Linked DNA regions of Lytechinus pictus. The protein of the gene in region 2 binds, or shares a complex with, the protein of the main gene of each other region. Links are inferred from orthologs where the notes say so. Each region holds a gene or a part of one and is shown on either strand. Other genes may lie near its edges.

What was found. Proteins that work in one complex are often made in the same cells at the same time.
Region 1: the proteins of origin recognition complex subunit 3-like (region 2) and origin recognition complex subunit 2-like are in contact, whole or in part, in a cryo-EM structure (PDB 7JK6), measured with the Drosophila melanogaster proteins. The link is inferred for Lytechinus pictus from reciprocal best matches to the Drosophila melanogaster genes Orc3 and Orc2. Residues at the interface, in NP_476904.1 of Drosophila melanogaster: Gly10, Cys11, Phe12, Val13, Tyr14, Lys15, Asn16, Ala18, Thr19, Arg20, Ser38, Leu39, Leu40, Tyr50, Tyr53, Arg54, Asn106, Pro108, Arg135, Asp136, Ala142, Arg177, Arg180, Asp308, His312, Gln316, Lys319, Tyr320, Met323, Phe327; in NP_731873.1 of Drosophila melanogaster: Ala331, Ile332, Lys342, Met344, Cys345, Ile346, Leu347, Asn348, Glu349, Phe351, Tyr356, Leu358, His369, Lys375, Thr377, Val378, Leu379, Val380, Val381, Asn382, Phe385, Asp392, Ser396, Asp400, Ile401, Leu402, Asp403, Asn410, His412, Glu413.
Region 3: the proteins of origin recognition complex subunit 3-like (region 2) and origin recognition complex subunit 5-like are in contact, whole or in part, in a crystal structure (PDB 4XGC), measured with the Drosophila melanogaster proteins. The link is inferred for Lytechinus pictus from reciprocal best matches to the Drosophila melanogaster genes Orc3 and Orc5. Residues at the interface, in NP_476904.1 of Drosophila melanogaster: Ile105, Gln107, Leu140, Lys141, Val144, Cys183, Thr184, Met185, Lys186, Gln187, Glu213, Cys214, Asp222, Leu225, Ile226, His230, Ala243, Thr244, His250, Tyr255, Ser258, Ser259, Arg262, Leu263, Ala270, Pro272, His302, Ile303, Leu305, Tyr306; in NP_477132.1 of Drosophila melanogaster: Ile72, Glu73, Tyr75, Ile79, Glu82, Asp86, Asp94, Arg130, Tyr291, Met292, Arg293, Ile294, Glu295, Leu319, Glu320, Leu321, Pro322, Tyr323, Tyr324, Ala325, Asp383, Leu386, Ala387, Tyr390, Val397, Leu399, Thr400, Cys401, Asn402, Leu403.

What each region holds. Positions count from the first base shown.
Region 1 is NW_026974140.1:18,890,155-18,898,228, forward strand, and holds the start of origin recognition complex subunit 2-like, read right to left. Parts: upstream 3,011-8,074; 5' UTR 2,948-3,010; coding exon 2,809-2,947; intron 1-2,808. Other genes in the region: uncharacterized protein LOC129260196, read right to left, coding at 7,605-7,667. UniProt on the Drosophila melanogaster protein: Component of the origin recognition complex (ORC) that binds origins of replication. DNA-binding is ATP-dependent, however specific DNA sequences that define origins of replication have not been identified so far.
Region 2 is NC_087248.1:5,390,979-5,398,311, reverse strand, and holds the start of origin recognition complex subunit 3-like, read right to left. Parts: upstream 3,064-7,333; 5' UTR 3,038-3,063; coding exon 2,990-3,037; intron 2,886-2,989; coding exon 2,837-2,885; intron 1,299-2,836; coding exon 1,195-1,298; intron 458-1,194; coding exon 307-457; intron 1-306.
Region 3 is NC_087247.1:38,510,709-38,517,737, forward strand, and holds the start of origin recognition complex subunit 5-like, read left to right. Parts: upstream 1-4,019; 5' UTR 4,020-4,248; intron 4,249-7,029. UniProt on the Drosophila melanogaster protein: Component of the origin recognition complex (ORC) that binds origins of replication. DNA-binding is ATP-dependent, however specific DNA sequences that define origins of replication have not been identified so far.

The DNA of each region.
Region 1 (8,074 bases), on a different chromosome or scaffold from region 2:
TTTCCTGACATCGAGGCACAGACTGGAACTTCAAAAAAACGAAAAGTTCTCTCCTTCTACCCCCGTCTCGATCGGCCATTTTTGTTATGAATCGTAACAAAATGGCCGATCGAGACTGGGGTAGGAGAGAACGTTTCGTTTTTTTGAAGTTCCAGTCTGTGCCTCGTTGTCAGGAAACTGCCACTCGTTAGACCTTCATCCATATAATCGTGGTAAGTGCATAATTTCTGTTTTCACAATTCATTTGGAGAAATATTTCTTCTTCTTGGTGATACTCCTCAACGTTCCTATTACAGGAACCACCCGAGGAGGAAATGGGAGTGCGCACTTTGTTTCTTCTTAGTCCTTGTTGCTTAAGTCTTTGTTGCGAAAGTATATGGTTGCCTGTGTTTCAAAATTATCAGAGACTGAAATTGATTGGATGTCGGGGGGTAAAGAATTCCAGTCCTTGATGGTGCGTGGAATATATGAGTTCTTAAAACAATTGGTGCGAGTTGAGCACTGGATGAAAGATCTTCCGGATGTACGTCTGGTAGCTCGAGTCGCTGGACGTAGATAGTCCGACACCGGCAGGGCCAGGTGCCCCCCCAAGGCCTTGTGCAGTATACCAATCCTCGAAACTTTCCTTCTTGTTGAAAGGAGATCCCATCCTAACCCCTGCATTAGTTTTGTAGCACTGGTGGTTTGCCTATAGTCACTACAAACCATTCTGGCTGCCCTTCTTTGCACCTTACCAATTTCATAAATATGCTCTTTTGTATATGGGTCCCAAACGCTAGAACTATACTCTAAGATCGGTCGGACTAAAGTTATGTAAGCTGTAGCTTTTGTGAGTTTTGTGCATGATGGCAAGTTACGTTTAATAAAGCCGTTGACTTTATTTGCAGAAGTTGTGATTTTGAAAATATGCTTGTCCCATTTAAGATCTTGCGAGATATTGACACCAAGATATGAATGGTGGGTGGTTTCCTGTAGATCTACGCCACCCAAGTTATATTTGGTTGTGAAAGGTGATCTAGAAGAAGTTATCCTAAGAACAAAACATTTCTCTGGGTTAAGTTTCATTTGCCACTTATTTTCCCATGCAGAAAGTTTGTCCAGGTCATTCTGTAGTCTAGTAGCGTCATTTTGTGTTTTGATGTTAGAGTATATGATGCAGTCGTCCGCGTAAAGTCGTACAGTTGAGGTCAAGCCGTCTGGTAGGTCATTTACATAGATAATAAACAATAAGGGTCCGAGCACTGTGCCCTGCGGGACGCCTGACTGTACCTTAACCCATTGTGAATATTCCCCCCCTAATACTACTCTCTGGTATCTATTCTGTAGAAAAGATGAGATCCACTGATTAATCTTCCCATTAATACCATATTGCTTGAGTTTGAGGAGGAGTCGTTGATGGGGCACAGTGTCGAAAGCCTTAGAAAAGTCGGTTATTATTATGTCAGTCTGGGTCCGTTTGTCAAAAGAAAGAGAGAGGTCATGCATGGTTTGTATGAGCTGTGTTTCGCAGGAATGTAGTTTTCTGAAACCATGTTGACTTTTATTAAGAATATTGTATGATTCAAGATGGTTCATCACATGGGTATGTACCACATGTTCTTATATCTTACAACAAACAGAAGTGAGAGATACAGGCCTATAGTTTTCGGGTTTTGTACGATCTCCTTTTTTGTGGATGGGAGTGACATTGGCTTTACGCCAATCTTCAGGTAACTGTCCTGAGTTAACAGAAGCTTGAAATATTTTGGCAAGAATTGGCGCAACTTCATGGGAAAATTCCTTAAGAATACGAGGAGGTATATTTCATCCACCCCAGTTGCTTTCTTAGGGTCTAGATTCCTTAGGAGTTTTTCAATACCGGGGGTGTGAATGGTTATGTTACTTATGCCGGGAATATTACAAGGAGGGAAGTTTGGTAATGTCTGCAGGTTTTCAGTCGTGAAAACTGAGCGAAACTGATCATTAAGGATCTCAGCTTTCCGGCTGTTCTCAGAGAAGAGAATACCTTTTTCCTTGTCTTTTAGTTCTAGAATACCCGAAGAGTCTTTCCTAAGACTTTTTACGAAGGACCAAAATTGTTTCTTTGACTCTAAACAGAAGTCTCTTAATTATGTGTTTCCTATATGCAGACTTTGTCAATTTGTGAGTATCTTTCCTTATATTCCTAAAGTTTTCCCAGTCTGAGCCATCACTAACCCAGAGAGCTCCCGCCCGCGCAGCGGGCGGGAGCCCAGAAGCTTACCGTGTATTTTACCATTGTCACCGGACTAGGGTGATTTATGGTCTAAATATTTCTCCAAATGAATTGTGAAAACGGAAAGTATCCAATTACCACGATTATATGGATGAAGGTCTAACGAGTGGCAGATTCCTGACATCTGGAACCTCAAAAAAACGAAAAGTTCTCTCCTTCTACCCAGTCTCGATCGGCCATTTTGTTACGATTTTTAACAAAAATGGCCGATCGAGACGGGGTAGAAGGAGAGAACTTTTCGTTTTTTTTGAGGTTCCAGACTGTGCCCAGATGTCAGGAATCTGCCACTCGTTAGACCTTCATCCATATATTATAATCGTGGTAATTGTATACTTTCTGTTTTCACAATTCATTTGGAGAAATATTTAGACCATAAATCACGCTAGTCCCGTGAGTATGGTCAAATACACGGTAAGCTCCTGGGCTCCCGCCCGCGCAGCGTCGGGAGTTCCCTGGGTTAATATCATGGCCCTTTAAACTTCACCAAATTGGATAAGTGGGACTAGGGTGCGTCATTAAATTTGGGTCCCGAACAAAGATGAATGTTGAATTACCTGAAGCTTCTTCCATTATGTGGTGCATAACATCATCATTACCGACAAACATCACAGATATTCCCTTCGACATACGCTGTTTAGACTTTTTATGAGCAGATTTAGGCGTAGACTTGGATCTAAGTTTCGATTTATCCATGATTGTGATGCCTGATGGCCGGCTATCTTCTACGAAATTTGAGTTTTCGCGCACGTTGTTGTGAGTGGTGGTGGCTTTGACTTTGCAAATACCATTTGGCAAAATTTTGGGAGGCGACCACCATAGATAATACATGTAATAATTATAATAAATATCTCTATGGCGTTCATCAAGTTGATTAAAAAGCAGAAAATTGTGGAAAATATAATAAGGTTCTGGGGGGGGGGGGGGTTGGCACCAAGGCATCGTAGACGTCTTTCAGAAAAAAGGGGTTGCTTTTTCAGCACTATATACCATACTCCAGCAGCAAAAGCTATACATTACTTCAAGTTAAGTTTATGAAATCTCATCCACTTCAAGCTATGACGTCTCACAGCTAATATACCATCCCCCCATAATGCTCTCCCTCCCTTCCCGGCTCACTTCATCATTTGTCTCTATCTCTTCAGTTGTATTTGTCATATCCCGGCTTCCTATTGTGATATCTCTTCTCGATCTATACCTCTCTCACTCCCTTCCCCGCTTGTATTCCACCACTCTCTATTCACCACACCAGTCTCTCTATCTTTCCATGATCCCCCTTTCCCTGACCTCTACCCCCCATCTCCCCCTATTTCCCACTCTCTCCTTATACATGTACCTCTCCTCTCTATATTCTGCTTACCCCATCTTGATCTTCACATTTCAGCAGTTCAGGGTAACCACTTTGGGTTTATTTTGATTTATACATTATACTTCTTCCAAATGTTTAGATGTAATGCATATCACAATTCAAATAAAAGACACCCAGTACCAAAAACATATTTTTGTTTTAAATATGGTTTTTATTACATCAGTGACCACCTAGTTGAGTCAAGGGTTCTTTAGATGTAAAAAAATAACACGACAGCTGAGGTATACATGTTAATTCTCTAGCTCTTACTGTTAATTGACTGAACATCCTAATATTCCACTTATTTCATTTCAAAGAGCAATCTTTAAGCAAAAATTGCCAATTAATTTGGAAAAAAATAAAATAAATAGAAGTAAATTAAATAAATTTCATTTCATGTTTAAGATAAATACAGAATTGCACAAAATCTAATAAAAAAAGACCACTTTTCTCTGTTAATATGGTATAATCTTCATTCTTGAAGTTCATCAAAAGAGAGTTTTACCCCCCCCCCCCCAAAATACTGGAATCATTACAAGCTAACCACTGTCGGCACCCAGGGTCAGCACCAAAGAAGGTTTGAATTAAACATGATATGTCATACTCAGTTGGGTTTTTCATAAAGCTGTTCAAGCAATGATCGACTTAATGAATGACTGGTGATTCTTTCTTGTGGTAAATGAAACGCACCAGATTTCCATTAGTGTTGATTCAGTTCCTAAGAAAGGATCCCAGTGGTTCGTAACGCAGCCTTTAGATGAGAAACAGCTTAATGAAACAACTTTCAATATCATCAATGCCCATTCATGATCTCGGCAAACTGATTCCTCATCAGAATGCTCAATTTTAATATATGAGCGAGATTGAATATGCCCATTAAAATGTTACCAAAATCATAAGCTTATTTTTTTAATTATCATAGGGCCTTTCACAAGCAAAAATAATTGCCAATTAGGAACAAAAGGATTAAAAAGCACTCCTATAACCTTCCTAATTTCCAATGGATCATGTGGCCATTATAAATAATGACAGAGTTCATACTAAATCCTTTTCTATTACTTTATCAAAAGGTATGTTTATCAAGGCTAATTCTTCAGCACAGAAGCCTATAGAGGGGGTTGCCACATGACGTCACCATGGAGGACATAACAATGGGAAACATGTGCACTATCCATAAAAGCAACCACTGATCTTAGTTGAATGCACAGGTTTTCATTGTTCTCCTCCAAAATGGCTGCTCTATGGACCTCCTTAGAGGACAAAAAGTTAATAATCATCCTTGGTGAAAATGATAAGACAATATATCATTTCCATATTATCTTACTGAACAGAGCTAAGGAAAGATGACATTTATCCATCTTGCCAAGGAAGTGATAGTTTGTCTCATTCACTGAAACCGCAATTAAGAAAAGAAATTCTTTTTTTTTAAATGACATTAAAGCAAAGTTAAGTTTGATTTCTGCTTGGAGCATGTCTTTTTTTGTTTGGGAGCACACTTACATTGATATATTCCTGTATTTACTTAGGAGACCTCACAAAATCAGCTGATCCTACATTTGATTTAGCCCTAACCAGACCAGGCTAAGTCATACTTTTTGCTCTAATTCACTATAAAAAGCTCATAGAATGCTAATTTTTGGTGTAAATATTCTTTATACCATTGCTAACAATCACAAATTAATAAAAATCTTGGTTTGAAAATGAATTTACTATTTATTTCATTGTTTTATGAATTTCTTATGTATTTTTTTGTTGTTCGACCTTTTGTTTTTCAGAACCTTTTTAAAGCATAATTATGCTAAAATCAATTAATTTTAGCTGATAAAAGTGAATAAGGTGAGAAAATTCAATTTACATTGACTTTGTACAAAAAATTACGTTTTGGAGCAATTTTGGGTCTGACATGCACTTACATAATGTTGTGTAATTATCGTACCGCATACCCGGGCATCATAAATTTGGTCTCAAAAGATGCGCAAGACTTTAAAGTAAAATGTCAGCGATCGGTGCGGTCAAAAATTTGGTGCAGAGGAATGGTCATGGAAAATGTCGAGGCTGATTCACCCCCCCCCCCCCGCTGGATTAGGGTTAATGATTATCTTGGTAAAGATACGTGATGTCATACTCTTAAAGTGAGAGGAGGGAGTGACTCATTACACCCCCCCCCCCTCCTGGAACTGAGCAATAAGTTCCTTGCATGAATCTATACAAGTGATATTTATTGCATATTTTCAATTATTTGATCTGATCATAAAGTGTAAACATTTCATGATGATTAATAAAATAAATATATATATATATATATATAATACTAAATCTGTTAACGCAACATACCAGCACATTCCCCTTTTCATAGAATCAAATAAATTTCTTTTGATAACCGTATTTCATCAAATTCGTGCATTGGCTTATGAAAACCTGGCCCTAAGCTCTCTTTCATAAAACTTGTTATTAAAATCAAACTGCAAACTTTTGATATATGCCATTTCATTGGTTGAGAGATCTTTGTCATAGAATTGTGAATCTTGTCTGAAGTTACACAACTGGGAGGTCATGAGTTCAACCCCAGTTAACAGCTATGTCAGACCAAAAGTCATTCAAGATAAACAAAGTAGTTGCAGCAGTAAACACTGATTTCATGAGAAAGTCTGCGAAACCAAGGTTAATTGTCACTATATCATTGTGGATCTAGATATGATAGAAAACTTAACTTTGAGAAATTATGAAATCTTACACTGTAGATCACCAACACAGATAAGCACATGTGGGACAATGTATTATTGCTTGGAAAAACCTGACAATCTGCTCGTATTCCATGCTTATTTTGCTCATTTCTCATTAATTACACAATTTCTCCCACAATCCTTTGTCACATGTGGGACAATGTATTATTGCTTGGAAAAACCTGACAATCTGCTCGTATTCCATGTTTATTTTGCTAATTTCTCAGTAATTACACAATTTCTCCCACAATCCTTTGTCACATATTTTTGAATTTTGAAAAAGGACAATGGGGGGGGGGGCATATGATTGGATTCCATACAAAATACTTTTGAAATCATTACCATAACTGGCATTTATCTTTGGTTCATGTCAATCACTATGCAAAAATAGCAAAATGCAGCCACCAATGTAATGGAAGCACACAGATGTGGATTGGGATCTAGATATAACAAGTATATCATAATAACAATCTTGACAAAAGTATAACAAAGATATTTTGTTACACTACAAAATAAGAATAAAAATGAAGTTTTCAAAAATTTGATAGAAATGCATCCCTGAAAAATGATGATTATGCAAACTTAATTTAGAGTGCTTTCTGATCACAAACATGTTTCATCATTTATCTTATTTTTTTTACCTTCAAGCTCATTGATCATAACTCCCATCAATATTTTATCAATGTACTAATATTTCTATTTAGTGATTCTTCTTTCTTGTACCTAATATGAAATGTATCAAATCTTCTTTCTTCATATTTAATCAGAAAATTACCCATAATGGTGATAATTTTCTACAGTGTTTTCTTCAATAGGATCACATCACTTCTCTTACAGAGCCAGCTAGTGCACAGTAAGGTAGTGCCTTTTTTTATAATGGTATCTACACTCCTACATCTTAAAATATAATTCTCTTTCCTGATAAACAATCAAGATATCAGAGCCCTCAGTAATACAGTAGTACTGATAACAATGGTGGCTTTTATTAGGGTTGTATCCACCAAGTTGGGATGCTAAAGGCTCTAAGAGATTATCATAGCTGAGCTCCTAAGTAACTAGCACTCAACCACATCGGAGAACCATTCACACTTGGGTGGAGAGCGGCAAATGGTAGATTCATGCTGGCCAAAAGATGCCAGTGCTGTGATTGGACTTAAACACAGACTGGCAGAACCACTATGTCACGACTCATCAATTACACATTGACACTTCAACATGAACAAGATCTTAGTGATCAATGCAGCCGTATGTCTAATAGATGGTTGATGGAAGGATTAGGATGTCATCTCTTGGTTTTCTTTGGTTTGCGTTGTCGACTGCCTTCTTTGTGTCGAAAGGTGATACACTGAAGAAGAATAAGACAATGACATTTTCTAGTTAATGCTATTGGAGAATGTCTGTTCAGGGGGTACATCCACAACGAGATAAGTAGGCCTTAACCGATATGGAATTTCATTGCTGATCTGATGTGCCGATATTTTTTTTCTCCCTGTATCTGCAAATACCGATTTGATCCAATGTACAGAACTAAAGTTACAGATACGGTAATGCAAACATTTATCAGCCTGACCGCCATATAGCTATACTATCAATGCATGACGTATTGTAAACAACCTCCAACTCAGGTCAAACAGCCCAAATTCGTGGTAAAGAGTTTTAAAATGTCAACAAAAGTACAAAAGCCAAAATGTTACTTCGTGAGGCTAGTTATTAAGACGGGAAAAATGCGTAGTGCGTATTTGAGGTACTGGT
Region 2 (7,333 bases):
TCTCCACACAAACTTCAGATAATGATATAGCAAGCCTGAAGTAGGCCTAATAATGAAAAATCAAGGAATTTAAGACCTTTCTTTTCCATGCACTGCTGAAATAGACATAAAATAGATAATGCAAACACAAGTGATAATTTTTTTTGCTACAAATAAATAATTCTCTATCATGTATAATGAAAACTAATCAATTTCAAATATGACATTTTGATTTTCAGATTTCCCAGAATTTCCTGGAATTTCTTACTATCCCGGAAATTACCTGCATAAACTCTAGATCTACTAAAAAGGTGTATTTGACAGTACCTGTTACAAATGCCGCAGTTGGGATCTCCTTAAGCTTAGGCCTGGACCTACTTGATCCCAGATCCTCATCCATCTTGAATCCTGCCTGAGCATTCTTGATGAAGTCTAGAAGATCATCAAAAAGTGTTTTGTTGATCTCTGCCTGTAAAGTCTGTAACAGAGAAAAACAGTAATGAAGAATTGACACATAAGTTGACTTTTATAATTGACTTTCTTTTAAACAAGTGCACACATTGTTATTACCAAGAATGCTAATAAAACATTTCCATTAATTCTAACAAAGGATTTTTTTTTTAAGTTGATTAAATGCCTGATCCCTGACATAGGTGCCAGGGATCATATCCCAGACTTCAATGTGTCTAGTCCGATATCTTGAACCACCTCCATGAATAACTATCTTGACGTCAGCATTACTTATATATTCAAACCAAATATACATGTTTGGGTAAATTGCTAATTTGTTCACTGCCAACTCGTCCACTCACCACATGGTCTACCTTCATTTAGTCTCATGCCATTCCGTCCATCAACATTTCTACTAACAACCATTTGGTCCAATAACCATTTAGTCCAATCATCACTTCGTCTAATCACCAGTCTGTCTTTTACCATTTCGTCTAATAACCAGTTGGTCTAATATCCATTTTCTTTTCCTTCATTTTGCACTATTAAGTTTAATTAGACCAAATGGTATATGGACTAAATGGCTATTGGACCAACTGGCTATTAGAAGGAACTGCATCAGACTAAATGAAAGTAGACCATTTGGTGAGTGGATGAACTGATGGTAGACCAGATGAACATAGACGAGCTGGCAATTGGACGAATCGGCATTAGACAAATTGGAAACATTTTATGTCAAGGTAGACTTCCTCGTAAAGATCTTACCTCAATATCATCATTGATAAGCTCCCACTGGGCATCTCCAGTCTCAAATCTCAGCTTACAATCATTACTGCTTTCAGCTTTGCTTTCAGGTATGAAATAATCTCCTGCATTCATTTTTTTTACCATTTAAAACAAAAGTAAAAAGTACAAGTACGATCTTGAATTCCTGTAAATTTACTTTAATGTTGGAAGTGAAGGGTTAAAATAAATGTTAAAATAAAATAAATTGAATAACATTTTTTTATCTGAAATTTATCTCATTTCAAACATTATCTGCAATCTGCAATTCTTATGTCTTTTTCTCTTTTTTTCTCATTTGTCAATTAACCATTTGAAATGAATATATGATTAAAAATATAAATAATGAATATCATTTGGAATCTAAGGACAAAACTACATTTAAAAAGACTAAGGTGAGTAAATGTTGAATTGTTTTTCTATTAAAATATCAAAATCAAAAGTTTTTCTTTTATTGCTTACATGCATATTGAAAATAAATAGTGTTGATAAAAATTTATCTTCTAATTCGTATTTGCAAATTTAAATTTAGAACAGGAATTTTGATGTTTTAAGTGTTGCCATGAAAGGAAAGCCATTGTCAATGAATGAATAAAAAATATGGATGTTTAAAATTGACCTTTTTTTAAAGCATAATTCTCATGGTCCTGAATCGTAATTGCAAAATCACAATTTTTTAGTCAATACAGCAGTCCTGAATTGATCATCAGATATTACTTATAATATTCATATTTATTGCAATAAGAAAATTTGATCCCTTTATCAATTTTGGTTTTAAGGCTGTAACACTAAAGATAGAAATATATGAGAAATTGCAAACCCTTTGCCTTTGAATTGGAGATTACATTTACACATTATCCTTTCGGAAAATGAGCAAGAGAGGTGTAACTACATGATTCACGACTCTTGTTGCAATGAACGGTTCTTTGAGCTTAATGAATATTATAGGATGTTACAATATTCAGAACTTCATAAAACTTATCAGAGATGCAGCACACATAGTGAGGAAAAAAATAAAAAGGAGAGGAAAAAGGGGTAGAAATTGGGAGAAAATTGGGGGAAATTAAAATGAGGAAGAAAAATATCAATATCAAATTAATATAGAAAGGAAGGAAGGAAGGAAAGAAAGAAGGAAAGAAAGAAAAAAAAAGAGAGAAAAGATAAGAAAAAAGAAAGACAGAAAGAAAGAAAAGAAAAAAAATTACTAGATAAATAAATATCACGTTCGAGTATCTTATTCATGTTATGGAACTGAGCAATGTCAATGAAAAAGAGAAAGAAAGAAAATACAAAATAAAGTCAGACTCAAAGAAATCAGTTTATTACCAATAATCTTTTATTAAGTTTTACTTTTAGCAGTCAAAGTTAAAGTAAACTTAGTTTATGTTCCTTCCATTCTTAGCTCGTAAGTATACCAAATTTGCAAAACGAATTTGGTATGAATAAACAGGAATTTAGCTCCTGTGCAATTTTTATTACTCTATCACGGAAAAGTGATATTCATGTCGGATATGTGTGCATTGGGATCGCACACGCTGGTAACCATAATTATGTGTGCGTCATCAATGACATTAATTTATCATCTACATCACAGAAATACACGGATGGGGATGGGTTTACTTACCGGGATAAAGAGGCTGACGTCTCTTCTTGGCTTTGAACACGAAACATCCCTAAAACGAGATCAATAAAATAAAAAGTTTGAGTATCATATTCATGATATGGTACTGAGCAATGAAAGATCGATCAATTCAAGTTTAAAAGACAATTTTAGTACCTTTGAAACTGAAGTTGTAGCCCCACACGTGAAATCGTAGTCTGCCATTTTGAGATTGTTTTGCTAGCCTCACGGAAATGCGCCTTTTAGTATTTTCTGAATATACATTCCCAATATAACTAGTAATATGATGAAGAAAGGGGATATAGAAATAGTAGGTTCAGTCGTAACACAATTATCTGAATAGCAATATTAACAAAGTAAGGTTTATTCCTATATTGATAATAATGATAATACGGTAGTGATAGGACTATTAGTATATGTTAAAGGGGGAATTGTCAATTATAACTGATTGCCTGACGATAATGTTTGTAAGGCGGTATCATCATTATCATCATAAGCTATTTAAATGAAAAATGAACAGAGTTGAATTGAGTTGAATGTTTGAATTTATGTATTTAGTTGTAGATGAAATAAATATAATTATTCAAAAAATTGATTAAGATTAAAATAGGCCTATGATTAATACTGGAGACTAAATAATGATACAACTTCATTATCATGTTAAGGCTGTGAATATGATCACAATTTATTTATTTGTTCATTTATATATATATATATATATATATATATTTTACATTTCATAAGCCACTTTTCAAATACTGGGATAAACGTCTAAGAAATGAATGTAAACATTTATTTCCACATTCGTGCAAATGGGTTAGCAATGCGTACTCAGATGCGATTCTGGGATTGCGCCATCTACCGATCTGTCATGAACACAACATTGAGAAAAGAAGATGTGGTTAACTTCATGAGGTATTAAAGAAAATAAATCAAAATCGCATAACATTCATATTGAAGAAAAAAAACTTGATAATTGAACAGGAACAGGAATTAACTGCATTCCTCGTTTTTTTTTCTGGAGTTTTACAAAGCAGTTATCCAGCATGCATCTGTGTACAGGATTTTGGAGTGGCGACGATTACTCGAAGATCATTATAAACAAGAGAGATTTGATATTTGAGTAATTTTTCATTAAATCTTAAGCAAAGAATGACGTTTCTAGGGCCTTCATCGAATATAGATTTTGTTCGTTTAAGAAACTTGACAGTGAGAAATTTATTCAATCGTAGGACTGGGAGAGAACAAAACGATTTGTATTGTATTTGTATACAGGCGTATCCCGTCACAACCTTTTGCTTTCAGGGAACTACGTCCTTTTATGTTAATAAATATGTTTTATATTTATTTTTATGAAAAATGGTTTTGTATAATCTATATTGAAAATTATATTTTGTGAAAAATGGAAGAGAATAAATGTTTATTTGAATTGAAAAGAATATGTTGCAGAAGGATAGAAACAAGTTTTCCGTGAGGAGCTATAAGTTTAATCGAGATTCGAGAGAAGACTTATCATATTGCTGGACTTCAATATTGATTGCAAGCCTGCATAGCCCACATACAAACCATATTGATAGCTAAATCGTATTCTTTGGAAGTCTTTTCTTAATAATTCCTGGTTTATATTGCTTTACAAGTTTACATAATGTTAAACCATGGGCGGAAATTCCGGGGGACCCAAAATAGTATAGGGGGACACACAATATCAAATGTCCCCCTATATTTTGATCTTTTATAATGGAAAGAAAGACATCATTCAAAATCGAAATAAAACGTGTATTTTGAACGAGATGACCGTACTTTTTGGGTGATAACCTTTTTTTTTTTGCTTGTCAAATTTTCCGGCCCCTGGTCCCCCTACTTTTGGGGAGAGATTCCCGCCCTTGTGTGAAACTCGAGTGGTCCTGTATACTCTAGGTTACACTTTTCGTGTATGATATAATTATGATTGCTCCTCATATTTAGCATATATTACTTCAATTCCAATGGCTTTATCAATAAAATGAGATTTAGTTTACAGCTATATTTCTCTCGTAATAACGCGAATATTTGTATATTTTCATAGAATCGTTAATTGTTGAAAAAAATGAGTGCGCTTAAAATTACTTATAGCCAATAACATTTTCAGCATATTTTTTATTCAAAAGTATATTGTACAAAATCGACAGGGCTTTTGTCTTATATTTTACAACTGTATTCAATAATAGATTCATTAAAATAGGAGAGTATAAACCTGCAGCAAGGGGATAACAGTTTCTCACCGCGCTCATTCAACACAACGAGCTCTGAAGATTAATTTCAAAAGATAAAAGGAATTAAACGACTTGTATTTTTATTCAATTGATTTCATGAATGAATCTATTAAAATTTTGGAGAAAAAATGATTTTCGAAAGGGGTTGGAAATAAATGCGGGAAAAATTGACTTTACGAGTGAATTTTGAAGAATCATCCAAACGAAGAAGACGATTTTTAGGGGCTGCGTCTCAATAGGCATTTTTGAGATAATTTTTTTTTTTCATATTGCTGCGCGTGGCGAAGGCAAAAAATATTTTATCATACTATTTTGGTTAGGAAAACTTGGAAGGCTTCCTGTCTCGTTGAAGTATTTCTTCTTGCTTACTTCCTATCTGTCTGTCCTTTTTGTCCTTCTTTACCTTGATCTTTTCTGCCTTTAAACTCTCTATTTTTCTTTGGGGCACGGTCCCTTTTCGCCACGCCCCATTATATACATAGGCCCGTATTCTGAAGTCGGGTTTAACTTAAACTCAGGTTTAAAGTTGTGGTTTAAGTATGGATAGCAAATTGTTGCATAAATCACTAACAGTAGAGATATCATACTTCAGCTCTCAAATAATTCATAGTTGTCTAGGAAGTATAAACAGATGATTGTCTTCACCATCGATGAATAAAGAAAGAGCACAGTAAACATAAGAAACATACAACTTAATAAAAACTTTGATACTTTTGGCTTCCCATACTTAAACCACAACTTTAAACCTGAGTTTAAGTTAAACCCGACTTCAGAATACGGGCCATAATGTTCAGGGCCCCGTCTTACAAAGAGTTACGATCATTTATCCAATCAATCGTAACTCTATCAGTCTATGGAAATCCATTACTTTAGTGTCATACGTTTTTCTACATGAAATGTGCAAAATTTCCTTTGTAAACAAAAGAGAACACACCGAGCTGTCAATGAACTTATGGATATACATTCGTATCTAGAATTTTTTTGAAGCAAACATGCATTATGTTGAATTTGCTGGCTTTCCATAGTTGCAATCGATCGGATCAATCGCAACTCTTTGTAAGACGGGACTATACTCATGCAGTTCGAGTGCTAAGGTTCCATATTTTGAGATATAGTTCTTATAACATGAAGATTAACTTTGTAATGAAAGCTTTACTAAATAATATGGGTTGTGCTGATGCTAGTTGATTTTTTCTCATTCATCCATTCAACAAGATTTATTTTTGCCAATTTTTATTTTCAGAGTCGCTTGAAATGACTTATTAATTAACACATTTTGCCCTGAGTGACCCTACCAATTTCTAGGATTTTGGTTTTCTCCCTCCCTTTCGAACTAAGTGAAGACAGAGGAAAGTGGAATTTTCTGTACGAATGATGAAATTTTGATGGTGGGTTATAATGGACAAGATGTTTGGAAACAATATTTCCATGAATTCTTTTGAATATGAGTGGATTGATAATTAGGCAAGTGCACAATGATACCATTTAAAAAAAGTGATTATTAGTATGTCGTCACCCTTCTTTTTAGAGTACCCGGCCATTTTTTTCTTTTCTTTGCTTTCGAGGTTCGGAAGGATTAAGTTTAGGACTGATAATCCCTTTTCTTTTCTTTTTTTTCTGGGGAGGGCAATTATGTCCATTTTGGCATCAATTGACCCCAATTTTTTATTGCAAAAGAAAATAATGTACTAATTCCAAATAAGATCGTTTTTCTGTGCCCCAATTTCATAAATCCGGGAAACGTCATCTGGATGACGGACATTTCCAAAGAATGATTTTTCGAACTTGTGTGATTTTATATTTGGCAATATCCAAATGCGACTAGGATGTTTTATTATGATATTCTAATCTTCATGTTTTTTAAGGGGGTGGACTTTCCATTCAGAATTACCTTCTCCTGTAGGACCGTATAGGCCTTCTATATGGCGGACCGCCGACCAGAATGTTGACATGGCAATGTATAATTTCTCAACAGCATGATTTACAATTATATAACATAATGATTTTAGTGTCCCAATAAAACATAATATAAAATTAAATGAAAACCACTGCAAATTGAGGAGGTAAAATGTGTAATTGACTAAGAATTTTATTGTTTTCATTGTGTTTTACAACAATATGAGTGAAAAATCAATGAAATGACCTTAAACAAAACATAAAAACAAAATGCTAACGAACACTGTTAAAGAGGGGAGGGGGGGGGGTGAGTGGCGCGCATGATAGTACGCGCTTTATACCAGGGAATTTC
Region 3 (7,029 bases), on a different chromosome or scaffold from region 2:
ATAAACACAAATTTAGAATGAGAAACCAGATAAAGCACAAAAGTATTTCTAATTTCATTGTTTTTTTATATACAAATGCCAAATCACAACACGTTTTTCTCGTTGTGATTTCGTTTTTGTGTTTTCAAAAACCAAACTAAGGGGCTGATTTCCGTTTCCGCTTCTACATGATTGGAACAGAAAAACAAATTATCCATTAGTACCTTGATTGTGCAGGTTACTGGGCAAGTGAAAGTGACATTCACAATTGATCTTAGCAAGACATTCATTACATAAATGAGTAGAGTACTATTTCATATGATAAAAACTAATTTAAGTATGAGAATGACAATATTTGATTAGAGAATATCGAACTTCTTAACCGAAGTGCGTGACAATCAACAAAATATATATTTTCATCAAACGTTTAGTTTAAGAATATTTTTCTATGTTTCTGCTTTAATTATCATCAACTTTGCGTCAGGGTAAACTGCCCCCTTTAAGGGTAGGCCATTCGTGTCAATTAATAGACAACATTTTTTCCCCAAACAGTGCAAACGTGAACGAATAAATGAATATATGAATAAACCAGGAAATGAATAAGTTAAACAATACGAAGGAGAACTTGAAATAGTGATGCATTAAGCCTCTCTCTCCCACTCTCTCTCTCTCTAACGTTTCACGTATTGGCTTCAGTGAGGTAACAAAATATATTTGTTTATATATATAATAATATATGGTATACAGAGAGATCAAATCCATAAGTAAAAAGAGAAATTAACGATAATGGTTGGTCTTACATCAAATAAAACAAAAAGTTTAATACAAACAAATACATCAATTGTTTAATTTAAAGGACAAGTCCACCCCAACAAAAAAGTTGATTTGAATAAAAAGAGGAAAATCAAACGATCATAACGCTGAAAATTTCATCAAAATCAGATAAAATAAGAAAGTTATCACATTTTGAAGTTTAGTTTAATTTGAAATAATAGTTACATATGCACATCCAGGTCGGTATGCAAATGAGGAAACTGATGACGCCATCCACTCACTATTTCTTTAGTATTGTATTATATGAAATATGATATTCTCCCATTTTCTTCTCATTGTCAAGTGCAACAATTTCTCCCTGAACATATGGTTCATTCACGTTGGCCCTTATTGTAAAAAATGTGAAAAATGAAATATTGTATAATTAAAAAAAAAAAAATAGCGAGGCCGGAACTGTATCATTTGCATGCAAATGAGTTGTGCATATAGGGCCTATATCACTTTTTTGTGAAAAATAAGCGAAACTTTAAAAATATCACAACTTTCTTATTTTACATCCGATTTAGATGAAATTTCCAGCGTTATGCTAGTTTGATATATCTCTATTTATTCAAATCAACATTTTTTCTGGGGTGAACTTGACCTTTAAACAAAATATAAATTCCTTTTATGTAACGAAAAATAAGGTTATAACACCCTTCAACTACGACTAATTCAAAGAAGGTAAACGATAATTTTTAAATTCAGATTATACTTTCTTCAAATTTTCAAAGTCATTCATGCCTGAATGATCGAGGAATCTTCTAAGGATACCAGGTGAAAGAGAAGATATTCTAAGCTTTACAATGAGTGCCGTCTTCATTTTGTATAGCCATTATAACTTACAGAATGAATAGAAATAAATGAAAAATAAATGAAATGTATGGCCCTGTATCAACATAAGACCTCAGATAACAAAAAGATGAAAATATAACAAATAAATTAAATGATTAATGAATAAATATAAATACATTAATCAAACAATTAAAATAGATTGATAAATAAATTAAATGAACTTCCACACATAAAAAGAATTAAAAGCGAATGATACCTAACTCTGACTCTCTATATCACAATGATTAATGAATAAATATAAATACATTAATTAAACAATTAAAATAGATTGATAAATAAATTAAATGAACTTCCACACATAAAAAGAATTAAAAACGAATGATACCTAACTCTGACTCTCTATATCACAAAAGAAAAAAATAACTGAAAACAAATGAATTAAATGATTAATGAATAAATATAAATAAATCGACAAATAAATTTCTGAAGAAGTAAATTATTATATCTCCTTAATTGTTTATTTGGAAAATAAATTGGAGCCCCCCCCCCGCCTCCTGCAGCGCCGCCCATGATATTCTTTCCTTGTTTATTTGGAAAATAAATTGAAGGGCCCCCCTCCCCCCTACAGCGCCGCCCATGATAATTCTCACCGGCAGGGGAAACAAGCCCCACGACCACGTTATTTTCCATTATATAACAGCGTAAGGGGCCTCGATAACGAGTATACTACTATAGCCGTCATCCGAGCCCCACACACGTGCGAATGCTGGGACAAGCGCATTGGACGGGGCCAGTTTCGCGACTATCTTAGGATGCAAGCTTATTATATACTCGTGATATATAGGCCCCGCTACTGTGTTGGAGTGTCTGAAGTGCCGTAGTGCGGGGCCTATATAACGGTTATAGTACTATACTCGTGAAACAGGCCCCGCAAACTGACATTCTAAGCTATTCAACACAGCAGCGGGGCCTATATCACGAGTATATATAGTGAGCTGAAGTTAGCAACCTAGATATTGAGGTAGTATAATCGATTACAAGTTTTTCTCGAGCGGGGCCTATATCACGATTTTGCCTTTATGTAATAACGTAAGAAAACGGAAAATGGGGATGTGACATCATCAGCCCACCTAATATTATTAATAAATATTCATGACGACTGTTTTCACAAAATTATTATTTTATATTGCTAAACTTTATTTAAACTTCAATAACTTATTATTTGTTGTCCGATTTTGATGAAATTTCCGGCATTTTTCTCAGTGAATTATATTCTATGTATTAAGATATAAATATTTCCAGCCCGGACCATCCCTTTAATAATTAATTTGAATACATCGATGGAGCCCGAGTCAATAACTTCCCCTCAGGAGTCCGTCTTTATTTACAGCGTGTGCAATTCCTTTCGCACGCAGGTGAGTGTGTATAACCACGATTCCGTGACACATATACTTACGTATCACATGAGCGAAATCACGGTCGGAGTATATTCTATATACGGTACCGGTACTTGATTGTTGAGTGAGAGTAGATCACTGCCGACACTGGTACCTCAATCATTTACGGTAGTTTCAGTGTGGTATTTGTTTACCTTTCTTATTAATTCCTTCTCCTCAATTATCACCAACAATTACCCTAGCTGGAACTTCGAAGTTAGATAAATCAAACAGCAAATGTTAGACAATCATTGGCTTCGGATGTGGAGAGACAGTCTTCTCGTGCATGCACCGCCCGTATGCGTACGGTACTTCCGCCTAGCCTAAAAACTAGGGGCCGATTGCACGAAAGGGTCTTTCCAAGGACCGTCTTTCGTGTCGCCCATCTTTTATGATACGCCATGTGAAACGCATTTCAAATAAATTATCTGCAAATATATTTTATTTGTCCGTTAAATTAAACAATATATTTGTTTATAAAATGATGTGATATCTCATGAAATTGTATAAAATTTGATTTAAAAGCAAGCTTACGAATTTTATTTGTTTATCATAAATTTCAGAAACACCCCGCTTATAGCGCATCATAAAAGATGGGCGACACGAAAGACGGTCCTTGGAAAGACCCTTTCGTGCAATCGGCCCTAGGAAGCAATATGCGCAGAGCAGGGGGCGATTGCACGAAAGGGTCTTTCCAAGGACCGTCTTTCGTGTCGCCCATCTTTTATGATGCGCTATAAGCGGGGCGATTCGGAAATTTATGATAAACAAATAAAATTCGTAAGCTTGCTTTTAAATCAAATTTTATACAATTTCATGGGATATCACATCATTTTATATACAAATATTTTGTTTATTTTGACGGACAAATAAAATATATTTGCAGATAATTTATTTGAAATGCGTTTCACATGGCGTATCATAAAATATGGGCGACACGAAAGACGGTCCTTGGAAAGACCCTTTCGTGCAATCGGCCCCATATAGCCAGCCAAATCAGCACTAGCGCTAGCCAGAGCCTCGTACCGTACTATATACTCGGTACCGTGGCGCGCCATTTGATTGTGAGCGCGGCCGAGGTCGATCGAGAGCTAGAGCTAGAGCGGCACACACATTATATTACGGTAATACGGTATACCGGGGGAGCGTTTCATCAATATTTTCATCCGACAAGTTGTCAGATCTGACATCTTTCCATCATCATCATCATCATCTGTACGGGAGGGTAGGTAATATACTATATAGTCCTGTAGATCTCCCGGTCGTAAACACTTGATGCATAATTAAAGTCTACTCTAAGTCTAACCTAGACAGCTGGCAGCCGTCTGTTTCGAGGAGTTTTTTAACATTTTTTTATTTTTTTAATTTCTCCTCATACACAGACGGCTCGCTATCGTGCAGCCACCATTAGGGGACTTGCAATGCAAAATCCCCCCGTCGGGGCTCTTCAATTTTTGTCTTTAATAAATAAAATTTTTGAAAATTAACGCGACCAAAATGCAAATTAATATTCCCTCTTGGCATTAATTGCCAAAAAACAGAGAAAAATCAAGTTAAAAGAAACAAAAACAGTGACTTATCTCGGCTGTCGCGCAAATTCACTTCCCCGTTTTATCCGCTCTTAAGTACATAAACATATGGCCATTGAGTCCCCTGTACAGATCGCGCTAGAACTTCGGTCTCTGTATTTGGTGAGTGAAGCCAACGGAGTTCAGCTGAACAACCAACATAACAGAGACTGAAGCTTTTGGTCTAAGTCTAACCCAGAGAGCTCCCGCCCGCTGCGCGGGCGGGAGCCCAGAAGCTTACCGTGTATTTGACCATATTCAGCGGACTAGGGTGATTTATGGTCTAAATATTTCTCCAAATGAATTGTGAAAACAGAAAGTATACAATTACCACGATTATATGGATGAAGGTCTAACGAGTGGCAGTTTCCTGACATCTGGGCACAGACTGGAACCTAAAAAAACCGAAAAGTTCTGTCCTCTACCCCAGTCTCGATCGGCCATTTTGTTACGATTTTTAACAAAAATGGCCGATCGAAACGGGGGTAGAAGGAGAGAACTTTTCGTTTTTTTGAGGTTCCAGTCTGTGCCCAGATGTCAGGAAACTGCCACTCGTTAGACCTTCATCCATATAATCGTGGTAATTGTATACTTTCTGTTTCCACAATTCATTTGGAGAAATATTTAGACCATAAATCACCCTAGTCCGGTGAATATGGTCAAATACACGGTAAGCTTCTGGGCTCCCGCCCGCTGCGCGGGCGGGAGCTCTCTGGGTTACTCTAAGTCTAACTCTAAGTTCAGTGCGCGCGGGCGTGGATGTCAGACAATTTCAAAATGTTTGCTTGACCAAAAAGAATCTAATCCGTGTTTAAAATAATAATGAGTTGATGCTGGAGGACATTATAATACTAGTGTTGCAGGCAAACTATTCCAGGATTGAATCACTCTTTTACTGAAAAAGCTGCTGCGGGCATTCAACCGACAGTGAGTTGTGAACAGTTTGAAGGGATGACCTCTTGTTCCCTGATACTAGTATGAGACCTCATGAAGAGGGATTCTGTGTCGACTCTATCTCCTATACCATGTAATATTTTAAATACTTGTTGTAATTTTGTATCATGTCCCCTCATTCTCTGCGGTAATGTAAGGAGTACAGATTCAGTCTAACAAGTCTTTCAGTCACTCATAAGATAAGGAGTTAAATCCTGGAAATAGTCTTGTTGCTCTACGTTGTACAGATTCAATTCTTCTGTCATCGGTGATGAATCTAGGGCTCCACACAACACTACAATACTCCAAATGTGGTCGAACAAGAGCCTTGTACAGCCTACAGGGGCAGAAATATATCCGGTTTAATGTTCACAAATGCACGTTTGATGATGCCCAACATTTGGTTAGCTTTTTGGATAGATGCAGATACATGTTGATGAAATGTGAGTTCACTATCATCAATAAGAACACCAAGATCCCTTTCACAGTTGACATCAACCAGTGAACGATTATCCATAAAACGTTAGAGTATGAACGATGGATATTGTTATTTCCTATATAAAGAGTCTTACATTTATCAGAGTTCAGAGGAAGCTGCCATGAGAGTGACCATTTCTCAATGCCATTCAAATCATCTTGCAGTGATTGACTACAGTCAGGGTTTGGTACTCTGGCATAAATCTTAGCGTCATCAGCATATAATAGCGTAGAGCTTGAAGTAACGTCTGGCAGATCGTTTACATACATAACAAAGAGGGTTGGCCCGAGCACACTACCCTGCGGTTAGACCAAAAGCTTCAGTCTCTGTATTTTGGTTGTTCCGCTGAACTACGTTGGCTCCACTCACCATACATAGACTGAAGGGGATGGGGCCCCGTACCTACAGCCAACGTATAGTGAACTAGCGTTTTATAGATCGAGATTTTAAACTGTTTTTTAAGCAAAATTGAAAGTTTCATGGTTTCCATTATCAGGGAAATATAAATAACTTAAGTAATTGCATACCTTGGGCCGGAGTTATTGAAAAAAATCCTCTGGATGATTGAGAAATCTGTCATCTAAGACATTTTCACCTGACCTGACGGTTTTTCTTGCAAGTTGCCATCTTGAATGACGTCATTATCGTTATTAACTTAATGTCTCGAATCGATATATCGCGATTATAACTAGTACTAGTACTAGTATAACTAGTATCGTTTATCTTCGATTTCGTTCGCATATGGAGCAGATCGTATAATATCGAAAGCAATATCGATATCACATTCGTGATTGTTGACGTTCGTTTGTAATATTTTATAGTTTGGCTGCCATTTTGACCATTTTTATCGTGTTCAACCCAATTAAACATCGGTAAAGTATATTTTTCATGCCTTTTTCATCTATATCGTTTAAAGTATTTTGATAATTAAATATCAAGTTTTAAAAGTTTGTTGGTTATACATCCTTAGATTGTAAATTCGATGTGTAAAATTACATCAAACTTTGGACTGTGAATTGACAAAAGG